3 linked regions of the Coturnix japonica genome follow. The main gene of each other region encodes a partner of the protein of the gene in region 2 in a complex. Links are inferred from orthologs where the notes say so. Each region holds a gene or a part of one and is shown on either strand. Other genes may lie near its edges. The genes, in order: C17H9orf78, AKAP17A and PPP1R8.

Region 1 (10,923 bases), on a different chromosome or scaffold from region 2:
AGCACCGCTGCCCTCCTGCCACCTTTACCTTGTAGAGGTTGATGCTGTGAGCGTGAGGGAAATGCAGCGTAGCCACAAACTGATGCACATAGTTACTCTTCAGCCCCCTCTTATAGATGCTCTCAGCGATGATCTTGCTGACAAAGTTCTTCCCTGTGCCCGTCCAGCCGTGCAGGGACAGAGCCAGCGGCTTCTTGGCCTGGCTGTTGCTGAGGAAGCCCCGCACGGCCCTGACCACCACCTTGCTGACCAGGTGCTGCCCGAACAGCCTTCTGTCCAGGCTCTCCTGTAGGGCTGTAGAGCACATGGGACCGTTAACAGCGAGCAGAACATCAGCGCCATCTCAACCCCATCTCATCCCCCATCCCAGCCCCCATCTCAGCTCCATCTCATCCCCCATCTCAACCCCCATCTCAGCCCCCATCCCAGCCCCATCTCAGCCCCATCCCAGCCCCCATCCCATCCCAGCCCGCACCGTTGGCGACGCGCAGCTCATGGCGCTGGAGGCAGCACTCCCTGAAGTAGCAGTAGAGCCTGGGGTAGGAGATGATGCCGGTAAGGGCCGATGCGGCGGCCCCGGCGATGGCCAGCCCCAGGCTGATGGGCTCCACGGCCCGTGATGGCGGCGCGAGGAGCAGCAGCAGCACAAGCCCCGGCACAGCCCGCCGCCATCCCTGCTGCACCTTCATGGCCGGCACGGCCGCTTCCGGTCCGCCGCTTCCGGCCTGATGTATAACTTCCGCCGCCGCCATCTTGAAGCTGGGCAGAGGCGGGGCTGGGCGCGGCCATGTTGGGCGGAGCCATAGGGTGATAGACATCCAGTCGAAAAAGGGATCAAACGAGTGATGTGGGCTGTCCACAACTCCATTAAGAACACATCCATTACAGTGCCTTAAAAGACTTTTATTAAGCCCCATCTCTTGCTTTCAGGCTCCTTCACATCACCCCCCTCCAACCTCCTCCCTGCTAACACTGATCTCTGCCCCTTCCCACTCCTGAAGGGCTCCTCCTGCTTTTAAAGGAGATTTGACTTGTTTTTCCTCCATACAGAGGATCTGTAAAGTCAATTTCATCTTCCCACTACAAAAAGTCTCGCCGTGAAAGCTGACGTTATGATAAAATAAGCTTTATGATGGAAAATAAAAGTTATATACAAGATTTTACCAGCCAGAGTTCACAAACAGATCGACAAGAGCACAAGGAAAGCTCCTCCATTCCTGGGCACTGACACAAGATCCACCATGAGAGATGGGGAGAACAAGCAGCTCTGCAGAGCCCTCAGCCCACGTTTATCAGTAGCGCCGGTTCATCTTCTTGAACTTCTCATAGTGATAATCATCAGTTGCTTTTTCATTGGGTGGACGTTTGCGATTTGGAGGAGAACCTTGAGAAGGAACAGAGGATCAGCACATTTCCAGTCCTTTCCCTGATGACATTACCTAAACTTGAACCTTATGAACTCCTGTAAAGCCACACAACTGCCGTCCCTTGCTCTATGAAAGGCTGTCCTTCAGTGCTCCCTAACCTCGCTTCCCTTGCCATCCCAGCTTTCAGCACACCCCTATCAATCAGCTTGGTTAATGCATTCTGGTGGTGACCTTTGCTGCTCCATCTAGAGGTATCACTAAACAATCCTGCATCCAGCTGGTTTCCTATGGGACCTTGCACAACAAAAGAGCTACATCTCTGTATGAGACCCCAACACATTCCAGTACCTTCCCTTAAGACACTTCAGATCAGGAACTTACGCTCAGGTTCTGGCCTTTCTGTATCCCCCACTCTCAGTGGACGGGGCTTTGGCTCTTCTTTATTCCTTCTCACCGGCGCGTTGAGCTCCTCGTGATAAACTGAAGGAAGGAAAACATCAGGTAGAGTATTTCAGAGTTGCATTCTTCACACAGATGTTCTTCTATGGCACTTACTATGACTGATCTTCAGGAGAAACCACAGAACCTCACGACAAGTGTTCCAGTAATTGCTTTCTATGGATAGGATACACCATGTTTCAGAGGCACTATTTCATCAGAAGTCACCCAAAAATGCTTAATTTCCTTCAGAACACACAAACCTGACACCAGATCACCCCTGTAGGTGCGGTCAGACATGGTAACAGGCTGCCTTTCCTCCAGATGGTTGTGGTATGGGAGGCTCTCCCGGAAATTAATTCCTATCTCCTGTCTACTAAGATCTATGTTTGCTTGACCACCTGTCTGCTTTGGCAGCCTGCAAAATGGATTCTCTCAATTATAACCCATCATTTATAACCACAGACGAGGCAGATACTTCCAACACACGTTCAAGGCATAACTTAAAGAAAAAGAAAGCTTGAAATTTATGAGGAACTGTCAACTGGGAGTTCAAGAGCAGAAAGTTGGGTCAAAAGTAATAAGTCCTTTTCTATGCTGATGGATTGGGGGAAAAAAACCAAAAGAACAGGCAAACCAGATGGGGCCTAAATGCACATCCCAGAGAAAGAAACCAGACAGCTGCTTGTGTTGATACATGGACTAATTTCTCCTGCACAAACTCCATCTCAACTGACTGCTTTTCTCTAGCAGAGGGGTGGGTCATACTGGGGTCAGGACAACCACATGAGACTTACATCTGTTGTGCTGGACATAGTTAACAGCCATGTTTGTGGGAACAAAGGAAGTTTCGCTGTCTTTCTTCTTGTTCTGTTGCTCTGCCAGCAGTTTGGCCTTGGCCTCTTCAGTTGAGATTATGTTCTTTATTTTTGCACTGGAAGAAAAACAAAGAACAGTAGCAGGTAAGTAACAAGTCGTTCAAAACAAATGGATTTGCATGCATTAACAGTGCTCGTATTGTATTTGGTCTAATTTTGGTTAAGAGGCTGCAGTGCTATAGAAATCCGATGCTTAGATGGTTTGTTTACAAGGTAAAAGTGAAGCACACATCCTATTTCAGTGCACAACATACACTGATAAACTCCAGAGAGCTGCTGACTGCAGTAACAAAAATGGAAGTGCCTCTTCCCAGAGGTCACGTTATCATACTGCGCTGGAAACCTACTGCTGTGTTTAATTTAACATGCAGTGCTAAACACCCCACTAATCCAGACGAAGACTTAATCCCATCACAGAGCCAGAAGGGGGGTTGTAGAATGCAGCCACACCAGTGCTCTGCTGATCAGCAGCTTCCAATCACGATGCTCATCCCTGTAATTCAGGCCTTAACTAACAGATCTGTGAACAACGTACTCAATTCCCAGGTCCACTTCAGGGATGCCACTCAGCATCTGGTTGGACAGCATCTCCTCAGTCTTCTTGGCAGAGGAGACACGGATGTTCTCCGGCAGCTCATACAGAGAGTCCTCAGCGTTCTTCAGCTTCACCTTCTGTTCTTCATTCTCCACAATTCCTTTTCTCTTCTTCAGCTCTGTCTCAATGTATTTCATCCTAAAGAACGATCCACGAGGGAGATGTGGTATTTAGTTCTGTTTTCTGTACCTAATTGCTGAACACAGCTGCACTGCTCTCCCAAAGGCTGAGAGAGAGAAATGAATCCAAAAGCAGTCAGCTAACATCAAGAACATAAAACAAGATATCTGCAGCTCTGATCAAGGTCTCCCAAGCTCTTCCATAACCCATCAAGGAAGGCTGCTGCTGGAATTTAATACCATTGTACTGGCTGGTTGACTGGCATCTCCCAACTCTGTGCATGAAAATGCCTTCTCAAGTCTAGCAGCCAGAAGGTGAAAAAGCAGGTGAGAATCAAGAAGTTGTTCTGAGACATTCAGTATCCAAAATAATACAGATAAACTGAGAGGACACCCAGCCCAGAGTTCAGCATCACAGACAACACGCAGCTCAACTCACATGTCAGCATCCTCATCCCGTCTGTTGGTTTCAGCTGAGAAGGAAGTTCCCAAGTTCAGATCTTCCTCTTCATTAATCCTAAATGAAAACCACACCGTTGCAGTTGTTTTTTGTTGAACTAATTTGACAAGCTAAGGTAGCAGCAGCCAGTGGAAGTGCAATATATTACATTCTTCAAAGCAGTACAATTTTTGGTTAATTTATTGCTAGCTGGGACTTCTAGTCCAGGGAAAGACCTTCAGAGCTCATAAGCACCCACCTGTCCTTGCCTCGTTCTTTCAGTTTCTTCATGTCCACCATCCCCCCAGATTTTATCTTAAATGGGTCATCCTGTAATGCAAGATAAAATACAAAACCCTGAAGCTTCCCTTTAGTTTAAGGCTAGTCTTCCAAATCTGGATAAAAACGGACAAAAAGCATTAGGCTGCGAGAAGCAGAATCCTACAGCCATCAATTGGATCACACCAACGTTTACACATCATTACATCTTAGCAATAAAGTGACAAAAGTATCAAGCACTTACCACAAGTGTCGCTTCTTCTTGCAACTTCTCTCCCACAAGCAGAGCTACAGCACTGGTTAGCCATAAAGAAAGAGACAAAAGGAAGGAAATAGAAGGAAACGTGTTACCAACAATGCTGTCTTTCTTTATCCTTCCCTAGATCAAGCAGCAGGTCTCAAACACTTGTATTAATACTAAGCTGCCATTTTTCCTTGTCCTTCCCTATGGGTAGACGAACTATCAACGTCTTGGGAAGATGAGAAGTTCAGGCAGAGAGATTTTAGTGCTTTACAGTGAATCAGCAAAGGAACAAAGCTGGTTGTTGGCGCCCATTTCAACTACTGCATCAGCTGATCAGTGATGCTATATGAAAGAGAAGGAAATCAGAGAGAAGATATAAAAGGGCCCCCGATAAACCTACTGCTCTGCTACGTGAACCGAACAGAAGCAATCTAACTAAATACATCCCATGACCAATTCCAATCTTAGTCTATTTTTCCATAGTTAGGATACAGCACAGACTCTGCAGGCTGGCAGTGCTTTCCTGCACCTGACTCACCATTCACACCAATGTTTTCCTGCACTCACAGAATCACAGAATGACCCGGGTTGGAAGGGACCTCAAGGATCATGTAGTTCCAACCCCCCTGCCTGGCAGGGCCACCAAACATACACCTTTACTAGATCAGGTTGCCCAGGGCCCCGTCCAACCTGGTCTTGAACACCTCCAAGGACGGGGCATCCACAACCTCCCTGGGCAGCCTGTTCCAGGGCCGAACCACTCTCCTAGTAAAGAACTTCCCCCTAACATCCAACCTAAATCTTCCCTCTTTTAACTTAAAACCATTTCCCCTTGTCCTGCTATTGTCAGCCCTTTCCAAGAGTTTACTCCCCTCCTGGGAGTAAGTTCCCTTCAGGTACTGAAAGGCTGCAATGAGGTCACCCCGCAACCTTCTCTTCTCCAGGCTGAACAAACCCAACTCCCTCAGCCTGTCCTCATAGGGGAGGTGCTCCAGCCCCCTGATCATCTTCCTGTCCCTCCTCTGGACCCTTTCCAAAATCTCCATGTCTTTCTTGTACTGAGGGCTCCACACCTGGACAAACTCACCATTCACACCATCTTCAGGCTTAGACACAAACTCCTCTACTCCCTTTGGCACAGGGAGAACATGGAGCTACTTCTCCATAAAGCAGATGGGTGCTATTACATGACAATACCAGATAGAACCTTCACAGCCCTTACCTCACCCCATTGGGTCTCTTCCTCAGGCTCTGCACTTCTTTGGCTTCCTCGAGCTTTAACCTGCAGAAAGAAACCCAAACCGCTGCCCTCAGTACTCAGTGCCTCTATTTGCTTTAATTCACTTTAATTCCTGCAGTTAAACACCAAATCTACGCTGGTTTTGCACATCAATACCTGAACCACATGGCTCCTGCGTTTCCCTCAGCTGAGGGAGGCACACAGCCCCCATCCCCTGCGCTCACCTGACCTCCTCAGCCAGCTGCTCATCCTCCTCATCCTCCTCGCTCTCCTCCCTCCGCCGTCTGAACGCCCTGGCAGCCATTTTTCACCCCCCTCCCTCCTCTCTCTCTTCTTACGACGCCATATGATGACGTCTATTCTCCGTTCCGACGCCGTACCGCAGCCTGGCAGGCCGCACCGGGCGCTGTGGGCCGCCCCGCCCCGCCCCGGTTCTACCCGGTGCCTGCGGCTCCGTTGGGCCCCAGCACCGCCTCCCATCCAGCCCTACACACCGCAGGGTCGGGCCCAGCAGGTGAGAATGGGACGGGGGGGAACGTTCAGCCTGGGGTGGGTTATCCCCGGTAAAAACGCTGGTCACGGCTTGTCCGGCTCCGTGCTGCCCGTAGGCCCCACCGAGTAACGGGGGATTCGTTGTGTAACGCCGGGTTTGATGAGCGATGCTTGGGAGCCCCGCGGGCTGCAGGCGGTGAGGAATGAGCTGAACGATTCTTGAATGAGCCCCGTTGTTGCTGGGAGCTGAAAGTGACGTTTTTCGGTTTATTTCGCAAAGGAAAAGGCCGGGAGGGACCGGCAGCATCGCGGTGTTGGGCTGGGAACGGGGCTGTGTGATCTAATGCCGTGGGATCTAATACAGGCTCAGGTGGGGGGAGCTGAAGAGGTCCCCGATTTCGTTTAAAAACAAGGGTTTATTTGATTTTTCTGGGTGAGGAAATGGAGAGAGATGGAAGAGCAGACGTGGCACTGATAGGTGGGATTTAGAGCTGGTTGTGCTGATGTGTTTGGAGAAAAAGACTCTATTCTGATGCACTCACAGAGCCTGAAAGTGTCCCACTTTTATGCGTCAGTCACTGTGCTCTTATTGCTTGTCTTCTAAATCCCTGTTACGTGGCAGCCTTTCCCTTCTCTGTGCAGCTCCTGAGCTTTCTCAGTGCTGTTAAGCAGCTCATCCCAGGTGCTGCCTGCAGTCACTGCTGTGTTTGCAGTGCAGGGATGTGATCCCTTCTTCCAGGTCTGCTTTGTTCCTTCAGTCCAGGATGGCTGCACAGACCCTGTTATAAGACTATCTGTGGGGTTTGTAAGCACACAGCTGTGAAATCCTCTGTGCTTTCAGTGCTGGGCTGTGTGAGCGGCGCAGAACAGCTCCATGCATTCATTGAGAGTTGTTCAAAATCCACCTATTGAATGAGCAGTTCCTGAAACACTGAAGGTGGGTTATCAGTTAAAGGTCTTCTAAGCCCAGTTCCCTCTTGTGGAGCTTCATTTAAACAGCAGTCATGGTTTTAATGCCCATAGACACCAGTATGGTGGGCTGCTGACTGTAACCAAACAGAACTGCCTTTTCTTGTCCTAGGAAATCACCTTCCTGCAGTGACAATGGGGGATACGAGAGACATCTGCCCTCACCTGGATTCCATAGGAGAGGTGACCAGAGATGATCTGCTGCTCAAATCCAAGGTACGGGGTGTTCTGGTTACCAACCCCTTCTCTATTTGCTGTACAGAAGAGGCAGAAACTCTTTTTTCCACCCTTGTTGTACCTTGCACGTGGCCCATCAATAAGCCTTTGTCAGTCCCATCTGGTGCATTTCGCACTGACGTTTTATCCTGCTCAAACACGCCACTTATCTAACACACACTGCAAAGCGTGGCATTGGAAGCATGGATTTAAGCAGTGCATTGAGCTGCAGGCGGGGGAGGCCTGTCGCATTGAGAAGTTTCTCACTGCTGAAGGATGGGGTTACTTAAAAGACAGACATGCAAACAAAGCTTATTTTTTTATCATTGTGAATACACAGGGAACTTGCCAGTCATGTGGAGCTGTGGGACCAAACCTCTGGGCTTGTCTTCAGGTAAGAACAGCTTGATGTTCGTGTGCATGACACGGTGGGATTTCTGTTCAGTGTATACAAAGAACTGTATTGGACCAAACAAGAAGGGATGGATGCAAATATGGGTGAACACAATAGAAATATCCGCTGCAAGGGGAAGCTGCAAGAGTGAGAGCTCTGAAGATGGTGTTTGGGGCAGAATGGAGTGACAGAGGGTGTGTGGGTGGGCAGGGGCAGTTTGATTTGACATTGGAGTGCCTGGACATTTAGTCTGGTCAGATGAACCTGTTGGAGCAGTTGTCTTGGAATGAGGACTTACGTGGGTGCAAACTGATTTCAGGTTTTCTCTGTTAAATTAACCAATTCCAGTCATCTGCCTTATTCTAAGCCCTGCAAAGAAAAACAGTTGAGTGGCAAGATCAGTTCTGAAGCTGCAGCTGTAGGTGGGGTTGGGGCTGCAGACTGTTTTGTGAAGGGTTTCATTTGGTGTGCCATTGTAGTTTTGCTTTCTCTCACTAGATCGGGTGTCCTTATGTTGGCTGCGGGGAGTCCTTTTCTGACCATAGCACCCTTCATGCACAGGTAAGCTTTTCATTATGGTCCATCTAAAGACAGAGAGAGCTGAGTTATTCCTGTTACCTAATCCTCTTATGCCTGAATTTAGTCGTTCTGCACTTCAAGTTGTCCCACCATTCAAATCATTACTTCACCTTTTTATTTCTAGGCCAAAAAGCACAACCTGACAGTGAATCTGACCACGTTTCGGGTCTGGTGTTATGCCTGTGAGAAGGAGGTGTTCCTGGACCAGCGGCTGGCGGCGCACACGCAGTCACCCTCGGTAAAGTTGAGTGAAGCAGTGGGTGTGTGTCAGCCTGGCAGGGCTCAATGCTTGGCAGGCTTTTTATTTCCTTGTTGCAAAATTAGCTAAGAAGTTGCTCAGGCTGCTATTGTGGTAGGAACTCTTCCAACTGAAGGTGGCTGCCTGTGGTCAGAGGACCAATAGCTTTGCTTTATAGACTCTCCATGCAGGAAGGCTTCCAACGACTCGAATATCCATTTTGATGTTTTTCTTTAACCTCTCCTGGCTTCTTATATGGGCCATCTGGTTCTGGTAGGAGCCACAACAGCTGTGATATCTTCATTTCAAATAAAAAATCAGCTGTCAGACTTCAAACGTGTCTACTTGTGACACTGCATGTTCCCAGTGCCTCTTCCATTATTAACACTGGAAGCAGTAGTGGTGCCATTTCCATTCTCTATATGCATTACTGAGAAGGGTAGGCAGTACAACTGGTTCTTCTGAGTGTGCCATTTTAAAGGCTGGCTGAGTTTACACCTAAGATACTTCTCGCAGCTCGTCTTTTGAAGGAGGACTCTTGCTGATGGTTATTTTCTGTCTTTAATCTAGGATTCTCCATTGCCTGCTCACCCTCTGAAAGCTGTTCCAATTGCAGTGGCTGATGAAGGTGAATCCGAATCAGAGGACGATGACTTGAAACCAAGAGGTAACTGCATGTAGTTGATGGAAGAGCTGTGAGGGTGACTCTGCAATCTGTAGGACCTGCACTGAGAGGGTCCTAGCAGCAGAGTGCAGAGCCCAGAAAGGGTCACATTATCTTCCCATTGGGAACGAATGTAGAAAGCAGCACTTCTGGAAAGTGTTTCATGCTTCTCTTGTTTGTGCTTTAGGCCTTACTGGAATGAAAAATCTTGGGAACTCCTGCTACATGAATGCAGCACTTCAGGCTCTCTCTAACTGGTAGGCATTAGGGCCTTTAGTAGAGTCTTTTACTACGTATCAGCAGTAGCACCTCTGATCTGACACCTTCCTTAGTCGTGCAAGGATAAACCAGCCAGGCTAGCTGCAGAAAAAGGAATATGAACAATGTAGTATTTAGGAAAACAGAAGTTCTGCAGTAGGAAAATGGGTGAATAGCCAACTCTGTGGCTGTGTGTGAGACTTGTCTCTAGATGAATGCTGGAAGTAAAACTCCACCATGACAGAAGCATGTTTGCCATGTGAGAAAACATGCAATCTTTCTGTTTTCCACAGTGGTATCGTTCTAACAACTCACACTGTAAGATCTTCATTAGCCATTCTGCTGACAGCTGGTTTCAGGATCTCTGTGCTGGGAATTGATTCAGATCAGCCTTCTTTGTTCATTTCTAGGCAGAAATCAAGTCTGCATCTAGAATCGCTTCTCCCCTTGACTTAAAAACAAGCATGCTTTCAAAAAGGGATGCATTTAAGCTTTGATCAGTCTTTCAATAGAGGCAGAGGAGCAATTTCTGTGCTCTGAATCCTTGTTGTTGTCTTGCAGCCCACCTCTCACACAGTTTTTCCTGGAATGTGGTGGCCTGGTCCGTACGGATAAAAAACCAGCACTATGCAAAAGTTACCAGAAGTTGGTGTCTGAGGTTTGGCATAAGAAACGGTGAGTTGTCACACTATTCTCACGTGTATAGATTTTGTATTTACATTAGTTCTGAAATATGTTATCAGCAAAAAGAAATGGTGCCTTCAGGGATAGATGCATTCCCTTATCTGTGATAGAGATCTGACACTGAGCTTATACCAGAAGATGAAAAACACAAGTGACTTGTTGAGAAATGTTTTCTATTGGTTCAAACTATAGACTGGTGTAACACAATGTAAAATAGCTCAGCTCTATTGAAATTTAAAGATATTAGTTGCAGAGAACAGATAAATTGGGGAAAAAATCAAGCCAGGAATCTGAGTGGCAACGTGTGTTTGCTTTGTGTTAGTCACTAATAAGGGATAAGCAAGATGCAGAGCAGCTCTGTGTGTTTATGCAGCAGGCTGAAGCACTATTACATCAATTTCATATTGGTTTTGACTTGCTTCAGTACTGGTTGGTCCCTCACCAGCCCACCTGTCAAACATGCTGCTGCAAAATCAAACCACGTAACCCACTGCCAAACCCTGCTCTGGGGAGAATCACTTGAGACAGTTCCAGGTGTGGACAGAGCTTCAAGTTAAAGCATGCTCTAGGGAAGGTTCTCTCTGGAAGGAGAGAGTGAAATGACTGTGAGAAGTTTTCTCTCTCTTGGTTTCTCTATCAGCTCGGTGATGTATAAATTAAGTTCAGGCTTTGCAGGTGCATAATTATCTTGGGTCCTCCTTAACCAGTTACCACACCCTGTTCTGTTCCTTATTACACAGGCTCCAGGCCTGATAAGCAAATTAACTTTTGTTGTTTTTTCCTCCATACCTAAACAGGCCGAGTTATGTCGTTCCAAGCAGCCTGTCTCA
Region 2 (9,161 bases):
TCTCAGGCAGTAAGATTAAATCAGACCATGACTTGGGTGACATGACGATGGCAACGTGTTACAAAATAATGCTTTTCTAGTTGTTGCTTTTTCCATGCTTCAGCAGTAAGGTTAGCAGGCAAAACCTGAGCAATACAATGCAGCTCAACACTTTGTGTACTTTATCTCAGTGAATCTTTGAAAAGGTGTTCTTACACCACTGTCCCAACACAAAATTTTTAGTGCTTTTCCTTTGATCCTCAGAAGAGGTAGAAACAGGCCAGTTTAGAGTTTCTGTACAAACACATAGAGCTCACCATCCTGGACAACACAGCCTGCAAGTACAGGAAAAGAAAAGCCTTAAAACATCTCAATTCCCATAGTTTTAACTAAATAACAAGGTGCTTGTGTGCACAAGTGATAGAACCTGGTAACGGGACATAGATCCACTCCAGTTAAGGCAAAGCTGTAGCTACAAGAGTCTCTGGTTATAAAAACAACCACACAGGCGATTAAACTACCTGGAGTATATTGTCTAAATCCATCTGTTGAGGACACCAGATGTAATCATCTAATGGGATTACTACCAGCAGCGAGATATAGGGGAGGAAGGTTACGGATAACTCACATCAGATTGATGTAGAGCCACAAACAGTGTGTTGCTGTTTCCAAGTAAATTGCTATTGGGACTTAAAGCCTAAGCTCCTCTTAAGCTAAAAATGCATTCATGAACATGAACTTGCAGTGGCTTTCTGCCTCTGAAAACCCCATCAAGGTTTTTTTGTCATAGTGCTTAGATCACACACACAGGCTAAAGTGAATACTTTATCTCCAGGCTTCTGTTCTGATGGTAAATTTATCTTTGTACTACAGACAAATAGGACAAAAACAAAACACCATTTTTGTATAGCATTTAAATATTAATGAATAAAGCAGATTCCAAGTGAAATTAATATGCCTGCTGCTGAGAAATGAAGCTGAAAGCATTTTCATGCTTGCAATTTCCTTTATGAGCAGTAAGGACAGATCTCAGGGACATTACCACACCAACATGCTTCCGTAACACCAGTATGGAAACAACTGTTCTCACTAACATTATTAAGCCTCTGAATGTACTGAGCTTATTAGCAGGTGTCTGTTGGCCTGGAAGTTCATTAAGATAATAGCTGGTGCTTTTTTGTCTTGGCTAACAAGCCAGGACAGCATCACACTTTTTTCTTTAGCTGGCAACAGATTATGTACAACAGAAAAATACTGGTACAGTTCCTTTTGATACCAGTAAAATAATACACATGGGAACATGAGATAGCAATGGGATAGCTTCAGCATACGCCATACTGAAGGAAGAACTGCAACTGGTTTGCAGCTTTATACAAACTCTAGCTCAGTAAATTTATTGTGATGCTGCGAGAGAGATTCTGCAAGTAACATGTTCATTAGGCTGGAGAAGGACCACATCAATATAATACAACATAAGCTTAATGAAATGGCTGTTGCATCCAGCTTATAACCAAACCTCAAAGGCAGCATACCAGACACAGGCAATACATATATTTTAATGGTAATTAAAAAAAGATTTAACCTGCATAACAATACAAGATAACAGCTGTTGATTTTCCTTACCCATTTATAAATTAAGGCACAGACCAAACTAGGTAATTTAATTGCTGCCGTACCTAATACCTGTACCCCTGTTATTAAACATGAGCACCTTCAAGTCTCTTACGTGATCCTGAATGCGTTCAAAACTGCCCTAGAGCTGACATCTGCTGTGATGTCCAGACTGCACTGATCAGTCATCAACTTCACAATCCTGTTCGCTATCTTAGAAGCCACTGTTAAAATTAACATTTACTCTTAACAGTTTTCAAGATGTTATTTTTACATGGCATATGAAGTTTTTTATTAGTACAACCTAATCACTCATATCCCTTTATTTTATGTCACTGAATAGAGATGTAACAAGAGACTGAAGGGCTTAGACGGTTCCTGTGTGTAGGAAATAATTCCTGTTGAATAAGCTGCTCTTCCAGTCACGTTTCTGATAAAAATGCTGATATAAATCTCTATTCCTGGTCACTTCACAAGGGAAATAAATTAACCAATAAGGGCACTAACAAATGGAATAATACATAAATAACTTTGATGCAATGCAACAAATGTAACGCATATCTCATGGCAAGTCAACGCAAAGAGTACGAGTCAGATAACCACTAGTACATAATTCTTTGCAGAAATTCTCACAGTTGGATTTCTAGCAGCTAAATGCCTGAGAGTAAAGTTAGCAGAGTAGCCTTAAGCATTAGTCAGTATCTGTCCAATATTCAACTATATCAACTTCAGTACTTCAGAAGTACTTTGAGTGTCTTTGATAATCATTAGTTGCTAACTCTTAGTAAATGTTAAGGAAGGCAAAGACAAACTAATTTTATCAGCTCCTCAAAGTCAGTCTTGCAAACATGTGCAGTCAGATGAGCTTTAAGAAACCAGCATCACAATATTCTTCCAGAAGAGGATAAAATATCAGTGATTGTAATATTTAAGCTTCTAGAAGCCATTATAAAGCCTGCCAGTATTCCAGATTCTTTTGTTTGAAACATAAAGATGTCTAGAATACACTTGGTAGAGATAATAATGACATACAATCAATAGAGAACAAGCGATTACTATCAAAAATAATGTTCTTCGTGTTATCGCATCACCGAGGTTTTTGAAGTATTACAAGCACATACCCCAGCCATAAGAAAAAGATTTTAATGAATGGTGTTGGGCAGAGTAGAGCATAATTTATAGCTGTGATCGTATCAAAAGATTACAGTCTCGACAAGTTTCTTTGCAGTTCAAAGACATCATCAATGCTGAATTTGGGAACCAACAACAAAAACATGGTGGCACCCACTACAGTTCCACAGTACATCCACACTTATCACATTGCCTTGAGCTGTAGAAAAATATCCAAGCAGGTTTTAAACTGACCAGCTTGTGGGTGCTGTTGGTTACTAGCAGTATGAAAGCATTTAGCTATAGGCATCACTATCAAGCCCACATACAGTGAAACAGACTAGAACATGCCGAGTCCTGGGTTACCAACAGAAAGAACAGATTGAGTAGACATAGAAGTTGGTCTATAAAGAAGTACCACTGTACCATGTCACTCATTCAGCTGACAAAAAATTTTCTTGCAGTCCCAGGTACTATAGGATGGCATTATTTTTGTTTTTGTCCTGGAGTTCATGTCACTGTGCATCTCAATACGTAACTGAGTAACAACAACCAAGCACCACTGAACTGCTCATGGCTATGAATGATGCTAACGCCACCCCAGCCAGACCCACATTACAATGAAATAGGATGCAATATTCATTTCAGTGGATTCTGCACCGAAAAGACTTTGGAGAGCTTTGAAGCAAAACATGCAACTGAAACAATATCACAAAGTGTTAGAACTAGATGAAATCCTCACTGAGCATTTATTGGGCAACTTTAAGCACCAGTTTAAAGAGGCTGAGATTGGGCCAAGCTGGCTGGCTGAAAGAAGGCTACCTTCATATTCCTGCGTGACATTTCAGAAGGTAAGGATTTACAAGTAGCTACAAAGTACTTTTAGGCTTTCAATAAACTGAGTACCTTATGTTACTGTACTTTTTGAATGTTGTATGAAGACTGTGCTCACTATGGTGTGTCAGGCTAAACAATGGCCTAACACATGAACTATCCTTCCTCTTCCCTCCCTCAGCCCCTGCTTATGTTCTCTGACCTCAGACACTGCACGGGATGTCAGGGGAACTTACATAATTTAATCACTTCAGGATGGGATATCAAGCCTGTTCTTGGTGCCTTCTTTAGAGTGAAAAATGCCAAACCACCTATCCAGCACGGCCTTCTTTTCTATCAATAAAAAGTATTTCTTGGATTTTCCTAATACGAGCACTTCTTGATGACTGCCACTGCCTCAATTGCTTTCATATTTGGCAATAACAGTGCATTAACAGTCTGAAGACCTCCTGAAGGTAGCACTACAACTAGCATTTCCCCAATTACATATATTAATTGTCAAGACCCTGACATAAATCCCAGTGGAAATCCACAGGATATATTGTGGAAATACTAAGCTAGTAAGAACCCTAAACCCTGAGCTCAGAGACATTGGTACTGACAGCCTTAGGTCAGCTTCTTACAGGACTACAGATGGAACCACAGTTGTTTTTTTCTCCTTACCTCAAATATGTTATCATGGATAGCATGTCAGTTATTTGATAGCAGGCTAAAGAGAATCACAGAAATCTACAAACAGGCGTTCCATTAAAACTTGCAATGAACATTATACTGGGTTTCAGCCAAACTATTACAAATCGTAAGTTTATCTTCAGGTAGACTTCTAACACTTCAGCAAAGACTGTAGAAAATTAACTCATCAACAAAAGCAGCCGCTCTGAATTCAGGAGACTGGTGGCATTGAGATGACTTAGATAAATCAATCTGTGGATTCAAGGAGAGAAACAAAGAGGCACTCCCCACATCAGTGTGGGGAAAACTGCACCCGAAGAGCAAACATCCTGCTGAGTTAACAGTGGATGCAGCTGTACATCACAGGACTTGCAAGTCAAGCAGCTAAGCCTCATTATTCATTTTTTTTTGGAACAAAATGATTTTCATACAACAATTCTGCAGATATTAACATACTGACACATGAAAACAGCAACTTCAGTTCACTGGAAACAGTTTTCTCTTTAATTTTACCATAAAAAGGCAAAATAAACTCTTTCACTGTAATGTTATAGCTTTTAATATTCCTGAGCTCCATTTTAGAAGCAAATGTATTCTTAAATGCATTTAACAAGAGATGCTGCAGCCTTACTTTCCAACACCACAAGTAAAAATAATTTAGCAAGAAGGCCCCTTTTTCAAAAGACAATGGCTAGCTCTGTACGTACCTGAAAATATACTTCAAGTGGCTCTAAACCACCCAAAGTAATTAGAAGCCAAGTATGTCAACAAGGCAACAGAACAACTTTTCAACCTTTTTACCACTGATTCTTACTTCCTACACCAGTGTGCCTTGCTTACGTGGAAAGTATTACTACACAAAGGGCATTACATACCAGAATAATTTGGTCAACAAAGCCTGGCACGATACAGATGTATGAAGGAATCACAGCAGTTTAAAAGATTGCCTGCATATCTTTATAGTGAGTTTTAAGAATCAAATTGTTACCAGTCTCAATCAGCAAAATTTCTACTTTGTTAAACATGATTTCATTAAGTACACAAAGCATTTTAGATTAATCTGTGTGGCAAAGCATGTCACGACTGGATGTCCTGTAACTGGCACATATGTACTTCTCAAACCAAGAAAAAGTAAATCAGCTGAAATTACAATTTAGAAAACCAAAAACTGAGGAAGCAGGTTGGCTTTTAGCACAGTAGGATTTCAAATACAAGCAGTACACCTACACTGTGGTAGAATGCTAGAAACAGACAACAAAGCACAACAGAACTTCAAAAAAATAATAAAATTCAGGCATCTACTTTAAGGACTGGATGCATTGGTTGAATCAAAAGTGTTTTCTTAAAGCAGTCACTCGAGTGAGGTCTCATTTACAACTTTCTGGCCCTTGTGTCCAACCACAGCATTTTCAAACAGTCAGGGCCTTCACTACCCACTCCAAGTACTCCTTTGCTTACTCAGTGATCTCCTCCGATACCTTTGTTTTCTGCTTGAGCTTCTGCGACTATGACTCTTTTCTCTTCTGTCTCGTTTACGTTCACTACTGCGAGTTCTTCTATAATGTGAACGTCTGGGGCTTACACTTCTTCGACGAGGACTATGACTTCGTCGAGGACTGTAACTTCTGCTAGAGTGTCTATAATACCTCCTTTCCCTCCTCCTTCTTTCATCCTGGTAACTCACATCTCTTCTGTGCCTGCTTCTGTCTCGTTTACCCTTACTCTCATCAGTGTTTATGCTGCTACATGAACGGCTCTTTCTTCTCCTTGGCTCTGTGCTATGTTTGCCTTGCTCACAGCGCGAGTCCTTCCTGCAGGTATTCTGCTGCTGGTTATTGGTAGGAACACATGACAGTACACCTGAACTTCTTTTCTCTGAACACCTCTCTGAGTCTGTGGTAGGAAATTTCTGACCTTCTTTGACATCAACTCTGTCATGAATATTGCCATTCAAATATTTGCATTGAGCATTTACATTCTCAGGGGATGGTAGTTCTCTTTGAGAGTCTGACGCCAGTTTGCCTGTAACAGCCTGTCCTGAGGTAGAAGTGATGCAGCTGGATGACACAGTGTGTGGAACATCACTAGCAGTTTTCACAGTGCCAGACTGAGATGCTTCCGTTTCTTCTTTGCTTTGATGAACTGCATCCATTTTCTTGCTAAGAAGATTATTCAGTAGTTTCTCCCTCAGTTCTTTTTCTTTTCTTTGCAACCCCAGTGCTCTTTCTTTTTCTTCTTCCACACGTCTGAGCTCAGCCTCCTGAAGCTTTCGCTTCTCCTCAAGTTCCTGAAGACGGATTTTTTCTTCATTTTGTTCTTGTTCCAAAAGCTTCACTGTCTGAAAGACAATCAAAGGTAAAGGAAGAGTAAAGAAAATATTTATAGATCTGTTCGTGCTTCCTTGACATTTTAAACAGAAAATAAAACTCCTATTTTATCATTCTGCTTCACCGCCACAAAGCCTGCAAGAAATATTCCTCTTTTCTCCTAGCATACAATTGACCATTTAGCCCTGTATGAGCTCTAATTCAAAAACACTACTGAGATAGACCAGCACCAAAGAACAGAAGTGTGCTTTGACACACCGCTTTTCACTGCTGCAAAATAAAGTGCATTCAAGTGTATTACATAAAACCTAAACAAAACTTTATCCAAATCTTAATCAAATGCTAGTGAAAAAATAAAACCTTCACCCTTACAGACAGAATCTAACATTCAAAACTTTAATCTACAGTACTTTTTCTAAAGATAAATCATTCAACATGCCTTTTAAACATCAAATAATGAAACCCCTTTCTCTGAAACTGGAAATAGCAGAACTGCAGAAGGAAAGAATGGAAAGAGTACCACAACTCAAATGAGAAATAAGGAGTCTTGTATCTTTGCCTCTATTTAATTAACTTTATCATGCTTACATTCTTTTATTGGCCTTGAGAGCAGGACTGCCAATTAGTCTTGGAAGGACTACAGATTCAAGTTAGCTTTTTCATTTATTATACGTACATGTTTTACCAAAGGAGAAACAAGGTTCACTGCACTTATTGCATTTTTGAACTAAACAACAGGTTTGGTACCACTCCATAAGGAGCAGCAGTCCCCACCCCCACCTATGTCAGTTGTTCTGCTGGGTTTCTCATCAGCTTCTGTAATAAATGATAGCTACCTTTGCCCTGCTTAGCAGTTCTGCAATTAGCCTGATGGACTGAAGATTTCTCTGAGCCAACAGGAGCTTCCTTTCTTCTAACTTTATCTTCTCTTGAAGTTTCTTCTGTTCTTCAGCTTGAAGTTTCTCAAGCTGCTTTTTGTTTCGTCGAAATTCACGATCTTTCTGCTTCTGTTCTCTCTTGCGTAATTTTTCTTCTCTCTTTCTCTCTCTCTCATATTCTTCAAGTTCTCTCTGCTTCCTAAAACGAGATTAGATTTTTATTTTGTCTAGGGCAGGTGCAATTTTAGACTCTGGCTGTATATAAAATATAATAAATAAATTATATATATATATATTTTGTACTTTGTACACATTTGTTGATTACTGAAAAACTGAAATAAAGAACAGTGCATTTTTCAGCCCTTCAGTATTTAAAAATATGCTGGTATTCAATCATAAAATATGGTTACAAGAAACTATTATGCAGTTTTAGTATGTTGAACCAAACATAAGTCTATGTGACAATCTAAATACCCTTACTGAGTAAATTAACAGCTCTGCTTTAATAAGATGGTTTACATCACACTTGTAGAAACTGTTAACTATCTAAAAGTTAAGCAGTGAGAAATGATACCTATCAAAACAAATGGACATCATGAAATCTGGGGGAAAAAATGCTGCATTAACATTTATATTCTGAATAGCTGCCGCATGACATCTGGATTTACATCCATTTTCTTAAAATATGCTTTTATCTCATTCTTTCCTAGAAAAATACCAATGCTAAGAGTAAACAAACTTTGCAATATCTGTTACTTACCAGTAAAAGAAACATGTAAGTTTCATGACCTTAGAATTACATACATGCAGAAAAACAGCAGTTCAAACTATGCTTCTTCATCTCCAGGTCCCATGATCCCTGAACCTTACTACCTAGAAAGGACTGCAATATTCTCATTCAGTTTTAAGAGCTTTGCCTCAGCTGCAGGAGTAAGTAAACTCCTAAGTATGTAGCTGTCTTCTATTGATGCAAACAGGAATGAGTAATTGCAGTTTAGCCATATTTTACTATTAAGAATATAACTAAGAGCCATAAGCAATAACTAACCTTTCTTCCTCTCTTTGCTTTTCCTCAGCTTCCTTCTCCCGGCGTTTTTGTTCTTCTCTCTGCTTTTCAAGCTCTTGAAGCTTCTGCCTTTCAAGCTGACGCTTCTTAATTGATGCATCACTGAGGTGTTTTGTTGAGTCAAAAGAAACCTTTACAGAATACAATTTAAAACAGATGAAACAGATGTAAGTAAACAGTGAGGAAAAAACACCCAAAAGAAACCACCAACAGCCAACTTCTGACTCAGAACAAATGTATGTAAAAGACACTGTAAGTACAGCCAGAAACAAAGTGTTTTTCAAAACTAATGAGAACCATAAGAAGATGGCAGGGAAATGTTTCTTAACATCACTTCCTAGGTGTCAGAACAACTGGGTTTTGACAGCCAGCTGTAAACTGGTTTAGGCCCTGGCTGTCCAATGCTTTCCAGAATAGGAAATTCAAATTTCAACTCGTGTGCCACAGCTCTGGGTAGAAATAGGCCTTAATAAAGGCTTCTCTTTCTGAGCAACACTGCAATCCTTAAATTCTTCAGGAGAAAATAAACAGTCCTAAAACATTTAGTATCTGGTTTAAGCAAGTGCCTGCTCATCTATCCTAGCCCAAAGATTCCCAAATCGAGATATACTAGGCTGTTGCTTAAAGCTACAGATTTAACACTGGAAACACAACAGAATGATGCTGCATACATCTGAATGGAGT
Region 3 (10,765 bases), on a different chromosome or scaffold from region 2:
GCTCTGTCTCCTCTTCTGGCAGGCCCAGCAAACCCTTGAGCTCTTCATCTTCACCACCCATTTTCTCATCTCCTTTAACTGCTGATGGCAGTGTCTGAGGCTTCTCTCGCAGAGTATAGGCCCGCGTAGAAGCACCGAATGAAACTGTGGAATCAATGGGTATCTGCTGGGGTTTGTGAGCTTCCAGACGGATATGACCCAAGAATGTGCCGTGTGCTGAGAAGAACATCACAATGGAAAACAATGTTAAGTCATCTGCTTGAGCTCACAGCGCTCAAACCTTGAGAAGTTCAAAACCTGTACGTGGTTTCCAGAGATACAAACCAATGAAGCACTGCTGAAAACATCAGCTGTGTGTATTTTACCTACCATCACACAAACTAAGACAGACTGCAGAAGATCCTGTACGCCCCAAGGTACCCTGTCTGGAATCATTCTCTTGGTGGAAAACACAGTATTTCAGCTTTCAGATCTTAAAAACCACCCCCAGAATAGAAAGTTTCATCACAATTGCTGAAGGTCAAGTGATTTTCTTTCACTCTCTTCGTCTCTTAAGAGTCTAGAAATGCCGCTTTAAACATGAGGGGAAGCAGAAGTAAGCTGCCTGGAACATGCACCTACTTGCTCTTAACCACTGCCAATCTTTCACTAAGATGCTATTTTAGATTATGACCATCTGGCCACACAGTGCAAACAAGAACAAAATAGAAAAGGAAAGCATATCTCATTCAAAAACGTTGAAGCACTGAAACAGTAACACTGTTGGATTAAATGCTCTGCTACTTACTGCTGTTTAGATCTATGAGGAAAACCCTCTTGAGATGTTTGTGATAGACCAAGGCAGCATGGACCCGAGAGCAAGACTGGTGGTCAATGGTAAAATCGCACAGATCAGGATTTCTCCCAAAGAGATAGTATTTCTTCTCATCAATGATGAGTTTCTGAGGTAGAATAACAAACAGAAGAGGATATTAGACACCTAGAATCTTTTGGAGCTTCCTGTAAAAATTCAAGAATGTGAATAAACAAAGTAAATGCATAACAAAGCATCATAAACTGACTGATATGTCAGCAGTGTTTGACACCATTTAACACAGAAATTTCCATTTTTCCATTCAGAACAGCTGAATGTGGGAGATGCCCAGTTACTCCTGTCTCTAACATCTCACTTGATGCATCAAGAACCACTGTTTAATCAGAAATTCGCCTTCAAGCAGAGCATCTGTTGACAAACAAGGTCCATGTGTAAATAAAATGAGAACAGTTATATTCTTCCTGTTGGAACACCTGATGCATGCAGGTCTCTCCTTTGAACTTACTTGTGCCTGGTGAAGAACTGCATACATTGAAGACTCACTATAATTCAAACTAGAACAATACACTGATAGACTGAAAGAGTCTCCCAGATTCTTGTATCATCTGGGTACTTCATTATCACTGTCTCTTTGCAAATACTGGTTTTCACAAGACCACCCCTTTTCCTCTGCAATCCCTAATCAACACTTAGCATTCCAATGTTCTCCCTTGCCACATTTATTGCCCCTTAATATTATAGTTGTTTCACCCAGCTACTGAACTGCGAATAGCATTTGTTATAAGGCACCTTTTGAGAAAGGTGAGCTGGGCTTTGTGGGGATCCAACTTCACACCAGCAGCTCTATGACAAGCAGTACACAGTATTGCCCCCATTCAGTACAGCACTGAGTGCTCTTCCCAAATTCAATACCTCCGTACCCATGAAATCTGTGGTTTCAGTTTGTGAGACAGGTGAGCCTTAAATTCTATTTATGCATATTCAAACAAGTTACCTAAAGAAAACTGGCATACAAATAAATGGATCTTTAAAAGCTTGTTTCTTACTCCATATTTCAGCATTTAGCTGTTTTATGACTTCAAGGACCACAAAAATCGATCTCATTCTTGTCCAAAATCTACTCCAAAACAAAGGTCCAATAGGTTTTCATTCACACTCATTAAATGGCGTTTCAAGAGGTTTTGTGAAGATTGTGAAGATTGAAAGTCTTGCCTTTACTTCACTGTAATGTCTCTAAGATTTTCTGTGCCTCTGAGCTATAACCCAGTGTCATCCTTTACACACTGAGCTTAAACACTGCAGGGCTTGTTTTCATGTTGCACTTTTCAGACCCAGCAATCACAAAGTATTCCTCAGACCTCTGGAAGAGACCTGGGATACAGATGGCTCGGTTAGTATCAAGTGCTCAAGGAGCCACTGCAGCAAGCAGGACCTCCAGGCTACACATCCTTACCATCCATCCTTGGAATCTGACAGGACCAGGATGATATTTCTACATGACAGTTTAACAATACTGATTTTGTTTGTGTATTGTCTAAAGCCATGGTGCATTCTCAGCTTCTGCAGTGCACTCTCCTGCCTGCAGTCTGGATCAGATCTCCCTTGATAGCCACTGTGGATTAATTTAGCAGCGAGCTCCATATAGGCTCTTCCATTCTCAAAAATCCAAAAGAAATATGACAAGAAAAACCTTGTCTTGTAGAATAAGTAGAATAATTCTCCCAGGTGGGAGGGCTGCAGTGAGGCCACCTGCCAGAGACCCAGAAAAACGACAAAGGCACTGCCAGCTGGCTTTGCTCACCATCTCTTTACATGGCCTGAAAGAAATACTGGAAAGCCTGATGCCACGTACAGTCCTTACCACAGATGCTATTGATAGGATGGCAGTGGGATGGCTGAGCTGGCAAGCAGTCCTAATTCAGCTCTGACCTCTGAAACTTCTAAAGCAGTTCCTAACATGCAACAATACTGAAAAAAAGACACGGATCATGGTTTGAAGACAAAAAAAATGCAATGGGATTGAAAGCTATTGTGGGCTAGGGAGAGCCAGTGAAGGATAGATGCACTGAAGGATAGTCCAAGTAGCTGGTAGAGCCAACTCACCTACACATTACATGATGCAATGAAGTACAGTGAAGATGTGATTACACATGTTGGTACCTAGTTCCTTTCAAATTAAGGCTGAGCAAAGATCTCACACAGGTCAATGCTGGCACTGCCAGCTACCTGTGCTTTCAAATGTGGACTAACTAAGAGCAATCTCTTAGAACAATCTATAAAATCAACAAGTTATGGACTGTCCCCATAAAGCCTCATTTTACTGGCTTCTGGCCTGGGAAAATATAAGCTTATTAGTAAATTCTCTGTTTATTTTTCCTTTGCAAAGCATATTCTGGTATCTTAATCAATTTATAAAATACTTCTGAGTAGGTGTGGAAAGTGCCATGTGATTTTCTACCACCGGTGTCTTTATCTGTGATACACTCAGCACACACACAATCTGCTCTCATACCTCAATGAGTTTGTCTCCTTTGACTACATCCAAATGTAAGCCAGGTGGAGGTTTTCCTGCCCTGGAAAACAAAGAAAATTAAGTCTAGTATGAAAGTATTTAGTGAGAAGTTCATTAATAGCAGAGCTAATACTCTATTAGATCTACAGATCGATGCAACACAAATGTAAGTAAATTTATTTGGGGAAAACAAAGATTAAACAGCCAAAAATTGTCCTTTTGCTCCACGCAGGTTCCTTCTGCCTACACATAAACCACAGATGTTTACAATGAGTTGAGCTAACAGAACGCAGGGCATTTCAAGCTTCATTGCTCCAACCATAAGACAGCGACTTCACAAACCAAATAGAGCAGCTCCCAACAGGAAGCCCACAAGGAGAGAAGGGGACAGACTGGACCTGTCAGTGTAAGGGCCTCCCCAGGGCTCTGTTGTCACATTACCTTAAGAACAGCCAGTCTCTGAGCTGTTGAGAGGAACAGGATCTTCTACCATCCTCCCCCCCCTCCCCTAGAACTGATGATGGTCAAAAACATCTGAAGGGTTCCAAGCTGAGTAATACAAAAACACTGGCTACCAACACAGATAGCATGGAAGAAATGACAGCATTCAATGGGAAGGGGACCTTATCCTATGAAGCAGCTTCATTCCTTTGGGAAAACCCTTCAAATCAGCACGTTCTTAATTGCCCTCCACAGCAGGTCCCCACGAGCTCTATTTTCTGGATGACTTCTGAGAACCGTGGCTGCTTTAACTGAACAAAGCATTCCATTTGGATTAAAGCAATTGTAGAACTTCACCTTAATACTGTTTGTTGCCTTGTTACAATGCACAGTTCCACACAGACTGCACTGCTTCACTCAGGTTCCCTTGGTTACCTGCTTAGGAATAAGGTCTCCATACTGCGTACAGAACTGCATATAGAGCCTCTGAAAGAAGGGCCATAAATACCCCATTAGAGAGAACTAAAGGTCCTATGGCATCTGCTCCTCAATTCAATTCATTCCCTCAAAATACAGCCCAGCAGTTGGACATGGAGAAATCCAGGCCTTCCCATAGCAATTCCAATTGAAAACTGCTTAGTAATGATTAGCAATGATGTATTTCAGAGGGACATCATCAAACTAAAGCAACATCCGAACTGGGTTTTGATAGAACAGCAGGGTTATGGATGCAGAAACCATCTGAAATGGAAAGCCTCACTGAAGCAAACCCTATCCAGCCCATAGAGAAATCCGGAGCTTTAGCTGCTCAGGACACAGACAGGCCAAATCCAGTCCCACTGTGTTCGTTTAAAATCAGGTCAATTATTTAGGTTTTTAATTGTGGGCTCAGAAGACTAATTAAGCCACTTCCTAACATCTCAGTGTAGGTGACTGCTATGCACATCCTCATGCTGAACTTCAAGGACAAGGCACAATTTCCAGAGCTCTAGAGCTCACCAGAGACCTGTGTAAAATCACTGTCAGGATATGTAACCCATACCAGCATGAGAACTAAACCAAAGCCCGGACTTTAAGCCATTGAAACCCTTGAACTTCTTTTCTACTACAATATTATCCATGTTAAGGAAGAACAGATACAGCAACAGAGCTCAAAAGCATGAGCAACAGTTTAAAGACAAGAAAAAAACCTACAATACTGGGCAGTTATGGTTAAGATATATTTCTTATATAGGTGTTTGTAGCCCTTACAGCAGCTCCATGTGGAGACAGAAATGAAACCAACAGGTAAGTAAAGACTGTGGCTTTGGTTCCAATACAAGTTAATGAGATTGGAAGGCACTCCCTGCAGAAGAAGCTGCTACTCACCATGAAGACTCCCCAAAACATGATGGATTCTGAACACCCACAGCTTTCCCTGCTAAGATCCTCCCGGCTGTCCAAACCAAAGTTTGGGTTATAAACACACTGAGATTCTCTGGAATTCAGAGCCTCAGACTGGTCCAGCTCTGTCACTGTGAGCCAGTTCCACTCTACAGAACCACTCTACAGAACTCATCACTTAGTGAATATCCGGACTATATTTTACACTAGTAAACTCTGGTTTACTTGTGAAGTACTTCAGGAAGTTATAGTAAAAGATCATTCAGATAAAAGGGGAAAGAAAGCAAAAAAGATTGGAATTGTTAGGCAGAAACAGGGCCCCACTCTCCCGAGGTGACCTCTTACTGCTGGGTGTGAAAACCCCGGCTTGGAGCGGATCCCAATGCAATGGATTGTGCTTCAAACCTGGGTCAGGTCAGCAGCAGCACGGTGCAGAAAGCTGCCTGGCTGTGAGCCCCTGCCCTGCCTGCAGCAGAGCCAGAAAGCAAGAGAGATGAAAAGGCCATTCACAGGCACAGCCCTCCTCTCCATACGCTATTTCTTTAGGAACTGTTCTGCAACAGCATTCAAGCAACTGAAACTGAGCACTGAGTAAGCCATACATCTCCCAGCTGTTCCATCTACAGCTTTCAGTGGCAGAAGTCATTCACATTTATCACCAAATGTAAGTCAAGTTGTTCCACGCTGCAGGTGCCCCATCCCTGGAGGTTCTTGGGGCCATAGATGGACATGGGGCAGCCCTGCCATGGCAGAGGGCTCGGAACTGGATGATCTGGGTAGTCCCTTCCAACCCAACCATGCTGTGGTTCTGTTTGCTGCTTTGATCTAAATCATATTGCTGTTCTGCACGTCACCATCTTGTCTCACAGAAATGCTTGATACTGCCTATACCCAGCTCAGACACTACTTGGATTTAAGGTTTAGATGGGTTTACAAACGAAAACTGAAAAGCACGTTGGCCATGCACATTGAGTACTCATTGAGTCCTGCCACCCAGCACTAACAGCCCGGACCTGCAGCCGGATGACTGTGCAATTAGAGCGGAGTGCTCTCACCATCCATCGCCTTTCAGCTCGGCTGTGCCATGATCCGCTGCTCCCATCCATCCCGAGCAGGGCCCGGCGGGGCAGCGGGGGAGGCCGCACTCCAGCCCAGCTGCGGACACGGCGCTGTGCAGAACACCGGCTGAGCCAACCCCAAGTCCCATCCCCTCCATCACATCACATCATCCCATCACATCCCATCACACCATATCGCTCCGGCTCCCCGCTCTACCTCCATCCCCACACAGCCGCGCCCGCCGCCCCAGCGCTACTCGGTCGAGGCGCAGCACCGCCACATCTCGGCCTCACACAGCACCACTCCGGCCCGAGCCGCCCCCATTGGGCCCCGCAGCGCCGAGCCGGGCTCCCTCCGGCCCACACCCCCGACCCAACGCTGCCCCGCTCCCCTCGGCCCGCTCAGGCTCGGCCAGGCTCCATCCCCCCGGCCGTGAGGCGCCGCAGCCCCGCGCTTCGTCCCGCCCCAGCGCCACTCCCCCGGCTCGGCCCGACCCGGCCGGGCAGCCGCTCTCGTCCCTCTGCGAGCCCCGCAGCAGCGCAGAGCCGTGCGGCCGCGGCCCGCTCACCAGCTGGGACACTCGAAGAGCGAGAGGCCGCCTCCTCCTCCGGCCGAGTTCGCGTTGGCCGCCATCTTGCATCTGCCCCATTCAGGCGGGGGGCGGTCCCGGCGTGCTCCGCGCCGAGAGGGGCGGGAACGAGCTTCTCCACAGAGCGGGGCTTAGAGGAACCTGATTCTATCGCTGTTTAATCTTGCAAAATAAAGAAGCTCCGACAAAGGCCTTTAAAAGTGTTTATTGATAGTTATTAGATGGAATGATGGCGTAAGTAGTGCAAACCAATGTGCAATTTATTGGGAGAACACCCCTCCCCCTTCCCAGCTTTCACATGTATTTTATTACGCAGGAGACGTGGAATAAAGGGTTAGATACAAAATGGGTCAGTATGATGCATTTACCACACGATACCGGACAGACTGCTGATCCCTCAGTGCGTGTCAGTTCAGGGCTACAAAGTGGGGAGCTCAGCTTTGTGTTTTAGTGCTTTGAGAACCAAAAATGGAAGAGATTTATTCATCCAATGATAAACCATCAGCTCATTTCTTCAATGACATTGCACTGCTAGATTGGGTGTCCTTAGACTTACAGGACTTACAGTACTCAACCGGTGCATTAAAATAAACCAAAACAACCCCAACCATGCACAAAAATTAATAAAAGCAATGAGTCTCAAGGCTAAAGTGACCGGTTCCTGAGCACACTTGTTCCATCTATCACCCATGCATACTTCTTGCTTTTCAGATCTGCAGTGGCATCTTTTCAATCAAATTTAGAACCACAGCCACCCAGAGACTAATAAAACCATGGGGCAGATACCAGAGACTTGAGAAACTGCTGGATTAAGGTAATGAAAGTTAGTGTTGTGCCCTCTTTGAATGTCGTTCTTATTCCAGTCCAACAAAGTTATCTGTACATATAAAAAGTTCAATGTCTGCCACTTGTCAAGTGAAACAAGACATCTCCAATTATCGATCACACTTCAGCATACAGTCGGGACAGGGAATAATACATTACAGAAAGCAAAACCACGAGATGTTAGTTACATAAAACAATATAATTTGTATATAAACTGATAAATACTGTCTCCATGGTTCACTAATTCCAAATACTAGTTGTCTGCACATTAGTTGCTAATAACTATTACTAGAAGTAGTTCCAGCTTGTGCTCTCTCAGGGTGGTTTCATTTCCAAAACTAGTCTGCCTTTTCGTGCTGGGGGAAAATATTCTCAGCAATGAGACAAGAATCCATGTGAAGATTTCACCCTCTTGCCCACCAGATAATTAATCCTACGAGTATAGAAGCCACAGCAAGACCAAGAATCAGGATGCAGATCTTCTTACGGGATTTCTTCTAAAGAAAGAAGAAGAAAAAGCCACTGATACCATGAGCAGATGAGGAAGAAAAAGCAAGTTTGGCAGCTTGTGTTGCTAAGTATGGTGAACCAGAGCACTCAATACCTGTCATTATTCAAGGGAAGTACCAAGTACGCAATTTCACAAGGTCTTTAAACAGCATATGCCACAACTGAAGGTTTAGTTTTAGGTCTAAGAAATCCAATTAAGTCAAAGCTAGCAGAATTTGTTACATTTTAAGGCAAATTCAAGGCTTTACTTCAAGATAACTACAAATAGGGAAGCCGACACCACCTAATATACATTTCATGCAAAGGTCTGCCACCAAGGCTGCAAAGGAAAGCTAAACCTCTCCAACTATCTGGATTTTCCAGGTAAAACAAATGAAAACAATCCCTCCTGTAGTTTGATGCAGAGATAGTACTGCATTTCTACAGCTTAAATGATGTAGCATACAGTTACTGTACTTGATTGTACATTTACAATAATACAAGCATACATAATTTACCTGATAATAGGCAGCTCTCTGTAACTGCTCACTGGCTCTTTCCACATGAACTTCTGCACTTTCCACATTTGCCTCTATGCTATCTGTGGAAAAAAACAGAGAACTTGTAAAACAATTCAGACTTCTGGTGCTTAAAATAAAATAAATACAACATTTTTTGTACAAAATATCAGAAAAATTGAACTACACAGAAAGAAAGTGCAGCTGAACTAGAAAAGAAGCTCCTTATCCAAACACACTTACCAATCATATCTCCTTGGTCATGAATCATCATGGCTAAATCCTTAAATATCTGATTGACATCCAAAATGTCGGCCTGAAGACAAGTTTGACAAGTTATACAAAACACTGGTTACAGTTCTTTTGCAGCCTAATTCTTAGTGCCTCTTCAGAACACACCACTAGAAATAACTGAATAGATGCCATCACTCACTGACTCAGGTGACTTGATGTTGCTATTGATGGAACTTGGGATTAACATAAGAGCTTGCAATATTCCCACTGCTCATTATTTTTTCCATGCCACTAGCAACTAACAGAGCAGGGAATTGAGATGAACACTGTCACGAGTTACTCCTACCATCTCTGAAGGACCACCAGTGAACACTGAAGGAAAATATACCTAGTCTCCTTAAACTGGAGCAGGGAGATTTATCTTGGAATCAATCCTCTCTACAAGGAACTGTTCCTTCACCTTCAGGTCTCCTCAGCCCATCCCATTAGATAGCACTGCATGAATTCTTTGGTTTCTACCCTAATATTGTTAACTATATGTTAACATAAGCGCAGGATCTACTCTTCACCTCTAATTGCCTGATTGCCGTTTCTCTTTCTTTAATAAGTTCAAGATCCTGTTCAGTTATCGCCACATCTTCTTCTTGAGACTGCATTTGGTTCCAGTCTTCACCACTGTGAAGGGAAGGAAGGATAGTAAAACACTGTTTCTTTCAGCACAGGCATATTTTCTCACTATAATTACACTGAATCACCAGCATGTTAAAGCTGAAAAGATTCCTACAGAACACCAGTCTTGCAACTACAGGCTTATGGCAACAATTACAAATGAGAACAATAATGGGGACAGACCAAGAGAAGTGAGGAAACTGAAAAGCAGTACATGCATAGGATAGTTTGTGCTAGGATGTGACCATTACCTATAGCATTATAGAACAGACCTCATTTCAGGTTGGTTTTTTTTTTTTTTAAGTTTGTTTTTTAAGAATATCTGTACCTTCCTTTCCTCTCACCATCCCCCACAAAAAGGGGGGAATCAACCAGGGTGAAAGTCTTGATGGAGAGCAGCCTGCAAGCACAACATTATCAGATCAAAAGAACACCTGACAAGCATCCTGGCTCTAAGATTCTCACTTGCTATCTGCCATTTGGGGATACGAAGAAAGGGTTTAGTATGTTAATTCATTAATTTAGCAAGAACTACAAATTAAAGTCACACATCAAGAGAGATGTTTAGAAAAATCTCTGCACACCTACCCTGATGACAGTACTTCATAACTGCCACGTAAGTTACACACACTGATTACAGTGAAGGCAGTACCAATAGTACAAAGTCATCTATGTGTCCAGCACAAAAGAGTTCTTCTAGGGTAATATCTCCCTCTTCTTCTCGGAGGCAAACGTATCTGAAAGCACTGTAATATACCCAACAGGCACGTTGTGACATAACTCTACGTAGTAAGTTCCAAAGGCTCCAAGTGCAAAAAGAAATGACAATAAACTACTTGACTAGATGGGATACAGCAGAGACATTCAGGAATTCAGCTGAGTTGACAGGAGAATCTTCAGGTGTTTAGGGCACAAGTTTCTGATGTGCAGCACATAAGAACAATTTTAAATGCAAAGTAGTTGCTGCACGATACTGCATCTCACTGAGATGAGGGCCTCTGCATGAACAGGTATTTATGTGGCACCCCATGCAATAGTGAGCAAGACTTCAAACTCATCACAGCATCTTTATGACTGAACAAAATAGGGCTTTCACTTCTGACTCAGCACGTGGAACCTCAGGACTAACAAAGGGGGACACACACCAAACAACTGATCAGGAGAGGATGGATGAGACATTTCAGATAGGTGCCTCGAGTTAGAACATTGCAAGGTTTATACAGATAAGGCCT

Evidence for each region.
Region 1: AKAP17A (region 2) and C17H9orf78 share a complex: the UniProt entries of both Homo sapiens proteins name them as parts of the spliceosome. The link is inferred for Coturnix japonica from reciprocal best matches to the Homo sapiens genes AKAP17A and C9orf78.
Region 3: AKAP17A (region 2) and PPP1R8 share a complex: the UniProt entries of both Homo sapiens proteins name them as parts of the spliceosome. The link is inferred for Coturnix japonica from reciprocal best matches to the Homo sapiens genes AKAP17A and PPP1R8.

Annotation. Positions count from the first base shown.
Region 1 is NC_029532.1:4,314,260-4,325,182, forward strand, and holds C17H9orf78 (telomere length and silencing protein 1 homolog), read right to left. Parts: upstream 5,961-10,923; 5' UTR 5,904-5,960; coding exon 5,824-5,903; intron 5,642-5,823; coding exon 5,582-5,641; intron 4,412-5,581; coding exon 4,360-4,411; intron 4,167-4,359; coding exon 4,096-4,166; intron 3,915-4,095; coding exon 3,837-3,914; intron 3,417-3,836; coding exon 3,219-3,416; intron 2,740-3,218; coding exon 2,603-2,739; intron 1,848-2,602; coding exon 1,749-1,847; intron 1,385-1,748; coding exon 1,293-1,384; 3' UTR 883-1,292; downstream 1-882. Other genes in the region: torsin-1A-like, read right to left, coding at 29-294, 476-752; USP20 (ubiquitin carboxyl-terminal hydrolase 20), read left to right, coding at 7,196-7,276, 7,617-7,670, 8,169-8,231, 8,374-8,487, 9,058-9,154, 9,339-9,408, 9,971-10,084, 10,891-10,923. UniProt on the Homo sapiens protein: Plays a role in pre-mRNA splicing by promoting usage of the upstream 3'-splice site at alternative NAGNAG splice sites; these are sites featuring alternative acceptor motifs separated by only a few nucleotides. May also modulate exon inclusion events.
Region 2 is NC_029516.1:116,233,104-116,242,264, forward strand, and holds the end of AKAP17A (A-kinase anchor protein 17A), read right to left. Parts: intron 8,609-9,161; coding exon 8,460-8,608; intron 7,611-8,459; coding exon 7,370-7,610; intron 6,545-7,369; coding exon 5,636-6,544; 3' UTR 4,683-5,635; downstream 1-4,682. UniProt on the Homo sapiens protein: Splice factor regulating alternative splice site selection for certain mRNA precursors. Mediates regulation of pre-mRNA splicing in a PKA-dependent manner.
Region 3 is NC_029538.1:1,336,516-1,347,280, reverse strand, and holds the start of PPP1R8 (nuclear inhibitor of protein phosphatase 1), read right to left. Parts: upstream 6,905-10,765; 5' UTR 6,843-6,904; coding exon 6,778-6,842; intron 3,388-6,777; coding exon 3,327-3,387; intron 2,222-3,326; exon of another isoform or gene 2,056-2,221; intron 942-2,055; coding exon 788-941; intron 217-787; coding exon 1-216. Other genes in the region: STX12 (syntaxin-12), read right to left, coding at 8,028-8,120, 8,631-8,713, 8,874-8,946, 9,434-9,539, 9,862-9,933. UniProt on the Homo sapiens protein: Inhibitor subunit of the major nuclear protein phosphatase-1 (PP-1). It has RNA-binding activity but does not cleave RNA and may target PP-1 to RNA-associated substrates. May also be involved in pre-mRNA splicing.